Danio rerio: one gene and its partners. The protein of the gene in region 1 interacts with the protein of each later gene in a pairwise test. Links are inferred from orthologs where the notes say so. Each region holds a gene or a part of one and is shown in the gene's direction. Other genes may lie near its edges.

What was found. The genes of interacting proteins can lie anywhere in the genome.
Region 2: the proteins of kpna1 (region 1) and anp32b interact in binary tests that used the Homo sapiens proteins (3 or more experiments, as listed by UniProt). The link is inferred for Danio rerio from reciprocal best matches to the Homo sapiens genes KPNA1 and ANP32B.
Region 3: the proteins of kpna1 (region 1) and sf1 interact in binary tests that used the Homo sapiens proteins (3 or more experiments, as listed by UniProt). The link is inferred for Danio rerio from reciprocal best matches to the Homo sapiens genes KPNA1 and SF1.

What each region holds. Positions count from the first base shown.
Region 1 is NC_133199.1:24,829,793-24,834,511, reverse strand, and holds part of kpna1 (importin subunit alpha-5), read left to right. Parts: intron 1-362; coding exon 363-499; intron 500-1,061; coding exon 1,062-1,175; intron 1,176-1,262; coding exon 1,263-1,362; intron 1,363-1,452; coding exon 1,453-1,547; intron 1,548-2,218; coding exon 2,219-2,350; intron 2,351-3,737; coding exon 3,738-3,826; intron 3,827-3,902; coding exon 3,903-4,002; intron 4,003-4,719. UniProt on the Homo sapiens protein: Functions in nuclear protein import as an adapter protein for nuclear receptor KPNB1. Binds specifically and directly to substrates containing either a simple or bipartite NLS motif.
Region 2 is NC_133176.1:28,299,480-28,304,998, reverse strand, and holds the start of anp32b (acidic leucine-rich nuclear phosphoprotein 32 family member B), read left to right. Parts: upstream 1-2,076; 5' UTR 2,077-2,243; coding exon 2,244-2,297; exon of another isoform or gene 2,298-3,674; intron 3,675-4,096; coding exon 4,097-4,246; intron 4,247-4,333; coding exon 4,334-4,456; intron 4,457-5,342; coding exon 5,343-5,519. UniProt on the Homo sapiens protein: Multifunctional protein that is involved in the regulation of many processes including cell proliferation, apoptosis, cell cycle progression or transcription.
Region 3 is NC_133182.1:22,788,118-22,793,274, forward strand, and holds the start of sf1 (splicing factor 1), read left to right. Parts: upstream 1-1,714; 5' UTR 1,715-1,850; coding exon 1,851-2,097; intron 2,098-2,976; coding exon 2,977-3,105; intron 3,106-4,919; coding exon 4,920-4,995; intron 4,996-5,157. UniProt on the Homo sapiens protein: Necessary for the ATP-dependent first step of spliceosome assembly. Binds to the intron branch point sequence (BPS) 5'-UACUAAC-3' of the pre-mRNA. May act as transcription repressor.

The sequences.
Region 1 (4,719 bases):
GAAATGAAATTAAAAGAAAATTCAATGTATTTATTTTCTAAATGCATCTTATGTTCCTAATTGTGAATAGTTAATCTCTGGATAGGTTTCTCTTAAAATGTTTACTTTTCTCAATGTTATTTAACAAGGTATATTAAAATGTCATAACAGGACCTTTCAGTAAGGTTGCTGTCAGATTAGTTTTGTCACTAATGCAGGATGTAAAAATTTGTGTGTATGTGTGTCTCCACTGCCTATGGAAACAAGTGACATTAAATGATCTTTTCAAGAGGTCTGTGATCTAGCAGAGATCAAGCAAGTATTTTAATAAGTCTTGATGATTTTTCTATTGTGCTCATCTTGCTTTGATCGTCTCTTTACAGCAGACAACATCATGAGTCAAGGGAAGGACAATGCACGTCTCAAAAGCTATAAAAACAAATCGCTCAACACAGATGAGATGAGGAGGAGGAGGGAGGAAGAAGGCCTGCAACTTCGAAAACAAAAGAAAGATGAACAAGTAAGTCAAGTGGAGATAAGAGTGACTTGTTTTTCTGTTTTATTTGACTCTTGTGGTTTTACTAATAAAGATATTATTAAACTAGCCTTAAATTTATAGGAAGGATGGAATGAACTTTGAGACAATATAATGAAAAGAAATTTTTGTCTTTTTGAAAAAAAGTTTCTCACCAATCTGAATTTGTTTGATTAAAATTTATAAAAGTGTATTGTATATAGTGTAAAGTATTATATTCACTATTAACTATTACTGGGCTAGCATAAAATCATATTGTATCATATTTTTGTCATATTTAATGTTTTTAAATATTTTATTATTATTATTATTATTATTATTAGAAAAGTACATTCTACTGGACAACAATATTTCTGTTTCAATTTCATCAATTGAAGCTTTCATTTTGAAGAGTCGTGAAGATGCATGAGTGCTTGATTGTAAATAAAAAAATAAAATATATATTGAAAAATAAAATATATTTAAATAAAATTGCAAGTAAAGTGCACTCTTAAGAGAAGCTTTGGGGATAAAGTTTCAACTTTGACAAATTTGAACGTTCTTATAGCTGTTCAAGCGCAGAAATGTGGCCACAGTGGAGGAGGATGGAGCACTGGAAGATGATGGGATGTCTGACAGCGGATACCTGGAATCACAGGCCAACAATATGGACCAAATCACGGTAGTACAGCAAAAATGAAGGCTAGTCTTAGCTTTTTACTTACTGATGAAAAATTAATTGCCTTTTTTTGTTTTTCCATCGTTAAAGGGAAGTGTTATTTCTGAAGACATGATACAGATGATCTTCTCCAGCTCTCCAGAACAACAGCTCATAGGAACACAGCGCTTCAGAAAGCTCTTATCTAAAGGTGAAATACCCCAAAGACTAAAAATCAAGCATTTACATAATCAAATTAGTGCTAAATTATGCTAATTCTGTCTTTGTAACCCTCCATTAGAGCCTAATCCCCCTATTGATGAGGTTATTGCCACCCCTGGTGTCGTGGAGCGATTTGTTGAGTTCCTGAAAAGAAGAGAGAACTGCACACTACAGGTGATGGATATTTAAGGAATATTAAAATCCCAAGAGATTTTATATATTTCTTTTCTTTGGAAATATTAAAACAGTATGTTGCATCAAGAGAGAAAGACACATTATTTATGTAAGGTATTAAAAAGACAGCAGCCTAAGAAAGAAAATAAAAACTCTTTTGGAACTGTTCTGACTTTTGTTTTGTGAACTGAATCGTTTTCATTCCAAGAGCATGTAAAAAAAGTCAAAAACTCATTGCTGATGAGAAGGGGAGGTTTCATATCTTTAAATTTATGTAGAATTTATTTGATCTATTTAGAATCTCCGTGTTTATATGTTCATTATGAAGGGGCCTACTATTTTTGAAAATGCCCTGCTATATTTCATAATTCTTATTACATGTATCTGAAATAGTGTTTGCTGATTGTGAAATCTATATTCACTGAATCAAATCAAGATTTGTTTCACAAATTGAAAAAAAAAAAAACCTGCTAGACTGAAAACCCCAAGTCGCAGCAGTGAGCCAGTGAGTCATCCAGCATGAGTCTCTCCCAGCACATGCTCACACTCCTGGAATGTGTATATTCTGCAAGTCTTCTCTGAATCTTTATTTAATCCCATCAGCTCTTGAATGGTGCATTAGTGAACATTTTTGTGCAGAATGGTGACAGACGTCTTGTCTTTGTGTGCAGTTTGAAGCAGCGTGGGTTCTGACTAACATCGCCTCAGGAACATCCCACCAGACGCGTGTGGTCATCCAGGCTGGGGCAGTGCCCATTTTCATTGAGATGCTCAGCTCAGATTTTGAAGATGTACAGGAGCAAGTAAGCATCTCATACTATAGACATTTACAAGGGACTTTATAGGGCTGGGCAATTAAATGAAATTAAATTGCATATCTTATAAGGGCGCTCTCACAGATTCTCCAAACACCCCCCGATGAAGAAACCAGAAAATTCTCATAGGTTTTCATTTTAGCCTAAAGATTTAACTGCTTTGAATCAGCATGACTAATTAACACACGACTATGAAATCATCTCACAAAAGAATTTATTTCAAACACTCGACTGTTATAAAGTGTATTTGGAGTACAATAAAAGGCATTATTATATATAGAATTTTTCTGTGCCGCTCTATACAGAGCTGTAGTTCACCGAGAAGCTACACAAACAGCAGAACGATTATCTTAATGTCATTTTTATAAGGTTTATTCAATTTCTTGTCAATAAACTACAACTTGGTGTAGGGAATGCTGCTCCATCTGAAAGAAATCGTCCTGGAAGTTTTGCAGAAGCAGCTTTACTGACAAAATGCGCATTAAATCTTTCTTTAATCACCCAGCCCTAGGTTTTTACATACAAGCCCGAAATACTCAAACATGTTACAATAAAATCCTAAAAAGTAAACCTAGTCGTGATTCATCTGTAGGAGACAAAAGCAATTTATTCATTTACTATATACTATATAACTGCAGGTTAATTATGCTTATATATAAGCATATCTTATTTCTGTTAAAAGTTTTTAGTTACTAGTTAATTTAAGTAATCAGCAACTAATAAAGTTATGGTAACTATTAACCTTAACTTTTCTGATTTTGATTATTATGCAATAACATACACCTTTTGTAATGCTGCTTTGAAATAATGATTATTGTGAAAAGCACTATACAGTGTCCATACGATCCTGGAAAACCTGGAAAAGTCATGGAATTTTGTCAGGTCATTTTCCAGGTCCAGGAAAATTAATAAACCCAAAATGTTTTGGAAAAATCACGGAGATTTCTCCAAAAGATAATTTTCATACAGACATCAAGATATTTTCTAAAAACTGTTTCACTAATATAAAAATAAACATATTACATAGATTGTCACACATTTCTTGATATGGTGTAATAAATTTGAATGTGTGTTTTGTCTTATTTACCATGTGTATTTCATGACAGTAGGTCATAAATATTTACCTGAATGTTTTGGAAACTTCATGGAAAAGTCCTGGAATTTTAGTAGTTAAAATGTGTATGAACCCTGACTATACAAATAAACTTGAATTCAACTTAATTCGTTTTAGAAAATCATCACTGCATTTATACTTTAAAATTAATAAAAATAAAATATTTAGCTGCAAATGAAATGTTCAGTCTGTTCCAAGCTTTTTTGTATATTGAGAATTCATAGGACCTATGTAAGTTTGTGATTGTGTTTTTCTTTGCAGGCAGTGTGGGCTTTAGGTAATATCGCCGGTGACAGCACTGAATGCAGGGACTATGTTCTGGACTGCAATATTTTGCCCTCTCTAGTACAGTAAGTGATACTATCTTTTTTTTAGAGCACCCATATCTTTGAATGGCTGTTCTGATTGTGCTGATTTTTATTGCAGGTTATTGGCCAAACAAAATCGCCTGACTATGATGAGAAACGCAGTCTGGGCTCTGTCTAACCTGTGCAGAGGGAAAAATCCACCACCGGATTTTGCCAAGGTAAAAGTCTTGTTTTGATCTTAATAGATCTGTACAATACATTTTTTTAAACAATGCACAAGTAGTTTGCAAATTTAAAATAAATGTTACTTAAATAATATATCATGGTTTCCACAAAAATATTAAGCAGCATTGTTTTCAACAGTGAGAATATTCGTTCAACATTATGTCAACATATATTATTGATTTCTGAAAGATCACGTGACATTGCAAAGTGGAATAATGGCTGCTGAAAATGTAGCATTGTTATAAATATAAAAAATTCGATTTAAAACATTAAAAGCAAAACAATTATTTTATTCTAACACAAATGTAACAAAACTGTTAGACAATTTCAATGTATTTTTATATAATTTTAAATAAATGGATCATACTATCCCTAAACTTATGAACAGTAGTGTGTATTGGTTTATATTGGCATTGACAGTGGTTGAGCATCTTGTTAGGAAAGGATAACACACAAACAACAGTTGCATTACATCTGTAGCTAGAAACATTTAACCAAAAGCACATCAATTATTAACAACTAGAAGCTTGTCTGTAGAGTTTATGCAACTTAATTATTGTTTTTGTACAAAACAGTGAAACATTTCTTAAAATTTATTATCTGCCAGATGATTAGATGTGAATAAGGAGGGCATGATAGATGAGAAGTGCCTGCTGCTAAATGACAGACAAGTAAATAAAATGGCCATTGTTAACTCCTATTCATGGTGT
Region 2 (5,519 bases), on another chromosome or scaffold:
CTGATTTCAGAAATAGCTGCTGGTTTTGGCTGTAAGTGAGAACACTTGATGTCTGGACACATCAAGAGCTCTAGAGTAGCTGAGTGTGCCATATATGTAAGCATATCTATGGCCAGAATATTTCAGGTAAAATTGATTAACATTAAAGTTTTCTATAGGATAATCATTTCAGGGAATGTTCTCTGAATGAACATTCTTCTAACATTGTCCTGTACACATCAATATTTATTTGTTGACAATTAAAAAATTCAACAACAATAAATCTGTTTTAAAAGCGAATTTCAAAAGGCTAACATTAAAGTTGTGTCTGCATTCTGAATTTCCATGTTATTTGAATACTCAAAAGTGTAGTAAAAGTCCTGCTCTTGCCATAACTATGTTATCGCAGTCCCTCACATTCTGGGCGTGTTCACAATCATGTCAAAACACATTGAGATTGGGACTGCTCTCCCGCCATGTAGATAGACAGTGCTACACTTAATGAAAGAAATATTCATCATTATTTGTAAATTAAATTGTTTATTTTATTCTAAATAACTCCATTACTTTCTATTGAATTTTATAAAAGTTATATGCTAGCTCTTATCTTCCAGTGCTGTAATGTGGTTATCTCATCATCCAAAATAACACTAACACCGAACAGCATTTTAATAGCAAGGCGCCTGCAGAACAGTTGAAACCTCTGTGTGGGATATCGCATTATTCTTTGAGAAGAAAAAGCCTCCAGTTCTTTGTAGAATGAAGTAAATGTTCAAAGATTGCTGTAGTCAGAAAAGTCATGGAAGGGGTTTGATTTTTGAAACTGGTTCTGTTTTGCTGTTTATTTTGAGTTTTTTTTTTTTTTTTATCCTGGAGCACTGGAGTAAAGAACAATGTTTGGAAACTGTACAAAACAGGCTCATTCTTTGGCCATTTTACAACTGTGTAGATTATTGGACTTAATAATAAAACAGTTGACACTACAATTACAAATCTCTTATCATGTTGCCATACAAGGCATGCTAAAACTGGGTTAGGGGTTCTCATAATTCTGTACATTTGTGGTATTTATGCTTTCAAATTTCTAAATGTCTCATTTCTGGATGTGATTTTATCAGTTTTTGTACAGTTTTTTTATTTTTTTGTACAGCTTGCTCATATGTTTCCCCTAAATATTACATAAATGTTCAGTTTTTAACAATGGAGTTGCTGTTGTTTTTTTTAAGCCATATTTTGCTTATGCTTGAAGTTGGTCCATTGTTATATTTTTTTTCTCACCATACTGAAGAATATGAAAGACCTGAATTATGAGACAATGTAGAGGCAAAAAAACAAGATGATGCCCTCTCCTGGCAACTTGTTGAAGATTCCAAGTTTCTTTGGAACAATAAAATCATGATATTCAGTTTGACTCAGTATATAACAGTAAATAAAGTACATAATTATATTTAAAATAATAAAATCATAAAACACAAAGATTACTTTAGAAGACTTTAAACTCTTTAAAAAACTAAGAGTTATACTTAGTGATATACCTTTGATTTCCAGAACACGATTTATTGTTAATGTGTGATTAAAGATTCTGAATTAAGTATTAAAATATGTATTTAAATGTGTATATGGCTGATGGAGGGAGAGTCTTCTTTTTAACAATAATTATTTCTTTAGTAAAACTTAACATTAATATTAAAATAAATTATTGGCTGACTGAAATTTAATGACAGTGTCACATTATAACGCATGATTTATTTTAATGATTGATTTATTTTAATGTGCACACTTTAACCACACAAAGAAGTTATTTCAACCCTCAGTCTTTCAAAAAAGTCAGAGTTCAGTGTATGACTTATTCAAGGTTTCTAAAAAAGGTAAAATGTACAGCACAACTTTTTTTTATTCTTAATACAATAAATGACATCAAATAAAACTGTAAGTAATCTTTACAACCAATAACAGTATGAAGTAATAATAGTGCAAAGAATCAAATTGAGACAATCTTTTCATGTCACACTGTAATGCAGCAGTGTTTGATCTTATACTCGACTGCAGTGGGGGCGCTTGGCCAGAGATGGCGCTATTGAGTATATATTAGTTTCAGCGCCGTTTCCCTCCATGGTTTCTGCTCTCCCAGAGTAACTTGGCGCTGGGCTCAGATCATTATACAGTCCCATATTCTCCCTCCATTAGGCATCTTTCTACCTTTTGGGCTGAACAGAAATTCCTCCAGAACCCAAGAGGGAAGAGTCCAACTTTTAAGGGGCGAAATGGACATGAAAAAGAGGATTCATTTGGAGCTGAGGAACAGGACACCATCTGATGTGAGTAATTTTGAGGCAAACCTTTAGTTTTGTGCTCAGCCATGCTAGCCTTGCTACTTTCTACTTCCACGGATTTGTGTGTAGTTTAATGGTAAGCACATGGGTGTAATGCCCCTGGTACAGAGTTAAATGAGAAAGTGCTGCGCGTACATCTACTGCATTAATGTTTATTCGTATCATTTTGTTATGAAAGGAACCAGGCTGAGTAAGGTACACTCAGCAACGTTACTTAGTTTGGAAAGCTGAATGAAGGCATTATTGCAGTATTCTAAGCCCCACACGCTGGATACGTTACGTGTATTCTTTTTAAACTTCATATCTGCTTATTTTAACCTCGGCGTGGTAGGATGTGGATGGGATGGTTTATTTCGCCGCGGTGGCCATGTTTGTTGCTAACATGAGGCGCCCTTTATTACAGGCACTTAAAAGCTAAAGCAATAAATCAGATATTCTGTGAAGATAACCATACGCTAACAAATTTTCGTAAATACGGTAACATTTCGGTCTTAATCGCTCTACGGCGTATGTATTCTTTCAACTAAAAATAAAAATATCAGGAAAGGCAATTAAAAAATAAAGTTAAATGTGTAGTCTGACTAACATGCAGTCGCGATATGAATTGTATTCTAAAGGGTAACATGGTTGTCGATTATATGAATTAACAAATTTTTTTTGAAAAGTTTAGTTTTTCTGACTGACTAGAGATGCTCTAAAGTAACCTTAAAACGTGCAACATGAACGCATGTATTACTCATTAAAAAGCTCGTGTTGGGTTTTATTCGTTAAATTGTTACTCGCTGTTGCGAGACGCCGATTCCCGCCATTACTTCCCACGCGCCACTACCGATCACGCTAACCATTATATTAGATAAATGATCGCTTTGATTGTTTTTAAACGTCTAAATGATCTACAGTATAAAATAACACTTGTAGAGACCAAAACAGCGACTGAGGAAAAAGAAGCTAACGTTACGTTACATGTGCTAACTTGATATGACAAACCGGTACAAATGTTTGGTCAGTTCTAAAATCCACCAAACATCGCGTAAAATATTGTCCTGATAGCCGGAAGCTTATAGTACGTTTTTCGAACGCAGCGTTTGATTTTTGTTTAATGTGTTGTTTTTTCAGCAACACAAGCTATCCAAGGAGGCGCCATGTTGTCATGAGAGAAAGAAACTCTCCATTTTTGTCTCACTAATTTCCGCTCTGTCTTCGTCTTTCGCTGTAGGAATACGCCATCGACATATCGCTTCCATCTTACACGAGCTCCTAAATGCCCTCCATTTGTTGTTTGTCAAACGAAATTAAACAAAACACGGCGGTGTCTTTCGGATATATGTCCATGTTGTCTGGCTGTCGGCGTGTAATCTGCTGTTTTCTCATTGGCGACTCGCTGCGACAGTCTGAGCCATAGGGCCATACAACAACAGCAGCAGCAGCAACCGCTTAACAAACAGCCTTCAGTGGTTTTCATTTTAGTTTCTTGACTACAATTTCATCGAACTAGCTTACGACCACTCACAGTGTCAAAATCCCCAACACACTTTAAGACTGTGTTTACAAAGACTGTTCTTTGTTTTGTCTGGTTAAGAAACTATCAGAAAAAAAACTGCATAGTTTGTCGCCTTTTTATGGCATGCTTATGGCCAACGTGTCCAACACCCCTTTTGCAAAAGTCACATAAATTTTTTTTTTTATTTGAATCATGATTGTTATGGTTATTACAGGTGAAACCTGTTAATATTGCAAACAGTATTTTATTATTATTTTTATTTCTTACCTTTTGTTTAATCTAGGTACGAGAACTTGTCCTCGACAACTGCAGATCAAATGAAGGGAAAATTGAAGGCCTCACAGCAGAATTTGTTAATCTTGAATTTCTAAGTTTGATAAATGTTGGTCTGCTCTCAGTATCCAACCTTCCTAAACTCGGAAAACTAAAAAAGGTAACTTAAAGTTTTCTTATTGTTTACCATCTTTCAAACATGTGCACAATGTTATATGTTTTGATATGGATGTATTGTTATTTTCAGTTGGAACTCAGCGACAACAGAATCTCTGGTGGCCTTGACGTTTTAGCTGAAAAACTCCCCAATCTCACACATCTAAACCTAAGCGGCAACAAACTGAAAGACATCAGCACATTGGAACCATTGGTTTGTAAACACTTCCTTTTCAAACTAGATTATGGTTTTACACGTTGAAATTTGGAGCTTAACTTGCATCACAGCTTATAAATTTTAGTTATTTATTATTATATAAATTATTTAGTTATATAGTTAGGTTAGTTAAGTTATGTACAATTTAATATAAAATGTGATGTGCACAATGTTCAGCATCCCTTTCATTCGATTGTTTATCAAGGGTCTACAAGTGTCTTTTTGCTACATTATTTTAAAGACTTTTTTATTGATAAATATTAAAATTAATTTTTTAAAAGTTTGAAATATTTCAAGAAACACTTAATAGATTGAAACAACTTGTGGTTTACTTCATTTTCTATGTACCAATTGAACCATTCTAAAAATGTCTATACACAGAGCTTTGATCTTTAAAAAAAAAATTAAGTCTTACAAAGACTATTTACTTTTATATATTTTCGTTGCTAATTTGATCTTTCTTTTTACTTGTGTAATTCTATATGAATGTTTCTTTAAAATTTTTACTAAATGTTGATTTTTTTTTTATTTTTATACTGTTAATTCGTGTCAGGTTTTACAGGGTTAAAATCATTTCACCTAAATTGGAAAATGCCCCTCATGTTCCAAACTGGCTGACTTTTTTTTGTTTAAATATACATTTGTTTAAAAAAAATAATTGGTAATTTTCACTTATTTTGTGTACAATTAGTTACACAGACAAAACTGACATTTCCTAAAATATCTTTTAAAAAATAAAGTAAATGTTGTAACTTTAATGTTTGCATGACTTTAATTTGTGCATGAACTTTGTACAAAACATGAGCTTCCCCCAACAAGAATTGATTAATCAACACAAAGTGGAGGTTGTACAGTTCTGTGATGAATCCTTTCTCTTTGGCAGAAAAAACTCGACCATCTGAAGAGTCTTGACCTTTTCAATTGTGAAGTCACAAACCTGAACGACTACCGGGAAAGTGTCTTCAAGCTCCTTCCACAGCTCACGTATCTGGACGGCTACGATCTGGATGACCGAGAGGCGTCAGACTCTGATGGAGAGGTCGATGGAGTGGACGACGAT
Region 3 (5,157 bases), on another chromosome or scaffold:
TTATTACATTGTTCTGATATTGCTAAATTGGGTGATTTGTGCAAATGCATAATGTCGGAGACTCATGTGTCTGTAGAGGACATCAAAAGTAATGAGATATAGCTTTTTGAAAACTGCTAAACAGCATTTTAAAACTGCACTTTTTTGTTTTGTTATTAATTCTCATTCATTCATTTTCTTGTCGGCTTAGTCCCTTTATTAATGTGGGGTCGCCACAGCGGAATGAACCGCCAACTTATCCAGCTAGTTTTTTACGCAGCGGATGCCCTTCCAGCTGCAACCCATCTCTGGGAAACATCCACACACATATTCACACACACACTCTTACACTATGGACAATTTAGCCTACCCAATTCACCTGTACCGCATGTCTTTGGACTGTGGGGGAAACCGGCGCACCTGGAGGAAACCCACGCAAAGGCAGGGAGAACATGCAAACTCCACACTGAAACGCCAACTGAGCCGAGGTTCGAACCAGCGACCCAGAGACCTTCTTGCTGTGAGGCGACAGCACTACCTACTGTGCCACTCCTTTGCCCGTTATTAATTCTAAGGGTTCGAATTATACAAATGTAGAATAATTAGCAAGGTCAGGATATAATGTAACTCAGTAGTGTAAATGGGAAAAAAATAAACTATAATACAAATAAAATCTAAGTTTTAAATGTAATTTTATCACTCATATAGACATACTGTATCTACCAAAACCTGACCTGCACAGTAAGAGTAGATAAGATACAGCTGTGTATATGTATATCATCATTTTTTGTGACACTGTATACCAATAATTAACATGTTTACAGTACTGTGACGGTTGGATTTAGGGTTAGGGTAGGGTTCATTTATTTTCATGAGCTAAAGGGTTCATTTAATCCCTTTATTTATCGGGGGTCGCCACAGTGGACAGAACCACCAACTTATTCAGCAAATTAGCAATTCCAGCGTTATGGATGTGACATTTGCAGTAAAATCTCAGAAACAATGCTCATCAAAAGGATAAGAGTTGGCTCATTATAAAACAAAAATGATTGATTTAATTTAATTTGACATTTTTCCATTTACTAGGCAAAATCTTCGTTATTGATGTGACAGATGTGGAATTGCCACTCATGTGATTTTGGTAAGTCAAATATAATAGTTTGAAAACATTAATGGAGACATTTTTGAGTATTTTAAAGCACAAAAACCCAGAAACAGTTTTGCTATTTTGTCGAAATCTTTTTTATTTATGGCAAGGTTGACATTTGCATGGAATTGCTCCTATGTTTTACACAGCGGATGCCCTTCCAGCTGCAACCCAATACTGGGAAACATCCATACACTCATTTATACTCATTTTCTCCACACAGAAAGGCCAACTGCCAAAGCTGGGGCTTGAACCAGTGACATTCTTGCTGTGAGGCGACAGTGCTAACCACTGTGAAAAAAACACTGTCGCCCTAATAAAATATGGGAAATGTAATTTTCGTTGTCTGCCAGCCATAACCGTATCTGATCTAGCTACAACCTGACCACACCGCACAGAAAGAGCCAACCTATCCTGGAACATATGGCCGGCTTGGCGACCAATGAGAGGTAAGTAAATTGCTCCGACGGAAACACGACAGACCTTAAATGATCCAATGAATGTTCCCCAAACACAGATTGACACGACTATCGACCAATCGGATATTTCTAAATTGACGTCAAAGCTCCTTTGTCGATCTCAGCGGACGCCATCTTATCCAGCGGGTGACAGAAGAAGGTTGCGTGGTCGGAGACACGCGTTCGTATCAATTGATTTATCAACAAAAGAAACGGATACATTCTGTGCAGATATCGAACCACGAAGAAGCCCCTGACGCCCAGAAATGGCAACGGGAGCTAACGCAACCCCGCTTGGTAAGCTGCACCCGAGCATCGGCGCTAAGCGAGGCTTTGACTCTGGCCCCGGTCCGGGGTTAATGCCTCCGCCTGGGCCTTCGGTGCCTTTCCCGCTGCAGAACTTCCAACCGCCACAATTATCAAATCCTGGGTTCCCGCAGTTTCCCGGAGCCGTGAGCTCTGCGCTCTCAAACCCTATCGTAGTAGGACAGCAGTCTCAAGCGGGAGGCGGAGGTAAACACCGTGGACAGGCCTTGACTCCTTCAGGATCAACGGCCTCCATTTATAAAAGTAGAATGGCTGGTTACCGTCATTAATAGTCTTACTTGTTTTTACAATGCCATTGCATATTAAAAATCTTTGGAATGTGTAATTATTTAACATGTTCATTTGGGGGATCAAAACTTAATCTAACGTTACACGTTAAAGTATTGTGTTGTATTTAACACTGAACTCTGAAATGAAATATGATGCAGAAAAATCTATTGTTTTGAAATCGAGCAGTGTTAACATTAGACAATAAAGTGCACACTGTTTTTTTTAATATAGATTTTTTTTTTTCAGTTTAGTGCATAATATGGTATAAAAAGGGTTGGGAGCTTTTACACAGCAAATGTACATGCCCAGACTGAACAAAGATGTTTATTACATTGCAGTGTTTATATGGCTAACGATGTTAAGTTAATATAACGTGGCATTTAGCAGCAAACTGCTTGCTTAAACTGCTAAAAACCTTAGAATGCTGTCTTAAATATTTCTTAAATTATTAGTATGTTTCGTAATATCACTTTTATGGCAAAGAATAAGTCCTTTTCCAGGTCTTTAAAGTAAAATATTTCAACATAAACAAGAGAGGCAAAGGTGAAAAATTGATGGAAATTTCAGACGGCACTTAAGAGGTTTTTGCATCTGAACTCTTCATATTTATAATTTCTTTTTAATCAAAGAAAAAATCCTATGTTTACTTTTTAAAAGTGTAATAATTCAATAAATTAAACATTTTGCATCATAAAGACATGGTGAACGTTTCTGTGAAGTTTTGGTCTTAATTTACAGGCTTTAGACATCCACAAATCAGACATAATGGCTTAATTTGTTTACATCCCCTGTCAGATTTTGGACAGAAGAAACGGAAAAGAAGTCGCTGGAGCAGCGAGACCCCTGATCAGAAGACTGTTATCCCGGGCATGCCCACCGTGATCCCTCCTGGGCTGACTCGGGACCAAGAACGAGCTTATATAGGTGAATATCTAAAATTTGCTATTACAACATCTGTCAGAGTCATAGAGTTTAGGTTGCAAATAATTTTGTATGTGAACGGGGGAATATTCTGTCTACACCCAAACAAGTCACTTTTTTTTTTTTTGTCCCAAAACTTGTTTATAATTTTTTTTCTCACAGTTTGCACATCACATGAAGGATGTAACTGCTTAATTTCATTAGTCTGACTTCTTTGCTGATACAACTGATGTCAAATTAGTGAAAGAACCTTTATGTTAAAGCAACAGTTCAAAACGGTCATCTCTATATGTCTCAAATGACTTTATAGAAATGGTCTTCTCAAAGAAGTCAATCCATCGAAATTCAGCACTTTGCCCCATATTTACTAGAATGCACTAACTCCATCAATGTGCAATGTGAGTGCCATTTATTTATTTTTGTTCGTTTAGGACACACTGAGGTATTGGTAGCACTGTCAATGTTTGCATATACCATCTGATGTCCATTAGCAAGAACCCACTGTGTTTTCTGATGTTGCTGCTTGCTGTGAACTGTCTCCAGCTGCAGAACTCCATCACTGCTCATGTTTACTATGCAAAAAATGTCTCGTCCAATTCGACTGCGAAAGCAATGCAGGTCCGATACTGAATTGCTAAAGTCATCTCCATCCCCTTGTGTCTGAAAGCAGTGTGTAGTAAATTGCTTTCTCATTGCTGTCAGGCACTTGTTTTGCAGTAGCATGTGGTGTAGTGTTTGTTTCGACTATAATGTGACCTAGACCTACATCTCTTTAACTACTCCTCCTTTTGACAACTGACACCTCATGTCTCTTACCCACCATCAACCTGCACCATTCAATGTGGGGTCCGATTCTCTTAAGCATGTCATAGAGAAATGCATGTGAAAGCCCATGAAATGCTTCCATGAGTGATGCAGTAATTTGGTTGGTTACAGGTCAGTCTTTGGGTTTGTACAGGCTGATTTGGTTGGCGTGGCTTGAGGCCTTAGTAAAATAAATTGCATGATAAAACGACCTGCTAAAGGCTGATCTGTTTGTCTTAGAACTTATTTATAAATATTGGATTTTACTTAATTGAGTAGTGTTTGTAACTACTGGTAAGTTGCTGACGTGTCAATAACTTGAGTGTTGAATGTAATTGTTTATGTATTGGCTTTTCACACCCAGTGTTAATGACTATTTTTTTAACATAGTAATTTAATTTCATTACGCTGGTGTTATTCTATAACTTTTTATATGAGGATGCATTTGCTCAAGCCATTTAGCCAATATGTTTTTTGATTTCTTCAAACACAACTTTTTTTCCCCCCTCGACAGGCCTTCATGTTTTTGCCACCTTTTTAGCTCATGTGAACTAATGTTTTTAAGGATATGCATAATGTGAATTTTACTTCTCAGAGTTGGTGGCATAAAATGGAAAGCCTGTTGCTATGATCTTTTTCTGAAATTGTTATTTGCTGAAATCCCTTCAGGTTTCTGAAATTAAAATTGGCTGAACATTTGAAACTTGAATTTCTGATTATTTGGGGAATGGGCTCATGAGAATACACTCAAGCTTAAACCGAAGTATGCTTTGCAGAATTCCTGTCGGGCTTTCAGTGTTTCAGAAAAAATACTACAGAGGATCAAATGTCTTTACTTGACCTTGATTCTTAGTGAACTGTCAATTTACCATGGTAATTTTTTGTTTGTTGCTTAACCCTAGTCACATTGAGTTTTACAGTGTACTGATTCTGGTTTTGTGGGGTCTTTTTGTTGTTAACCACATTTTTCTCCATCCTTGTTTTTTTTTCTTTCCTAACCTGATTTCTTCCAGTCCAACTGCAGATTGAAGACCTGACACGTAAACTGCGTACAGGAGACCTGGGAATCCCTGTTAACCCTGAGGACAGGTCGGAATAACGATTTAAACCCACCAACAGTAACATTTTCTTTACCTTTTCAATGCGCCAATTTAAGTGAGCCCAGTTCGTAAGTGTACTAGTGTCTATGTAGGGGTAAGTAATTAAGTGACAGAAATAAGTTTAAATGCCTTGCTTTTAACTGACATCATA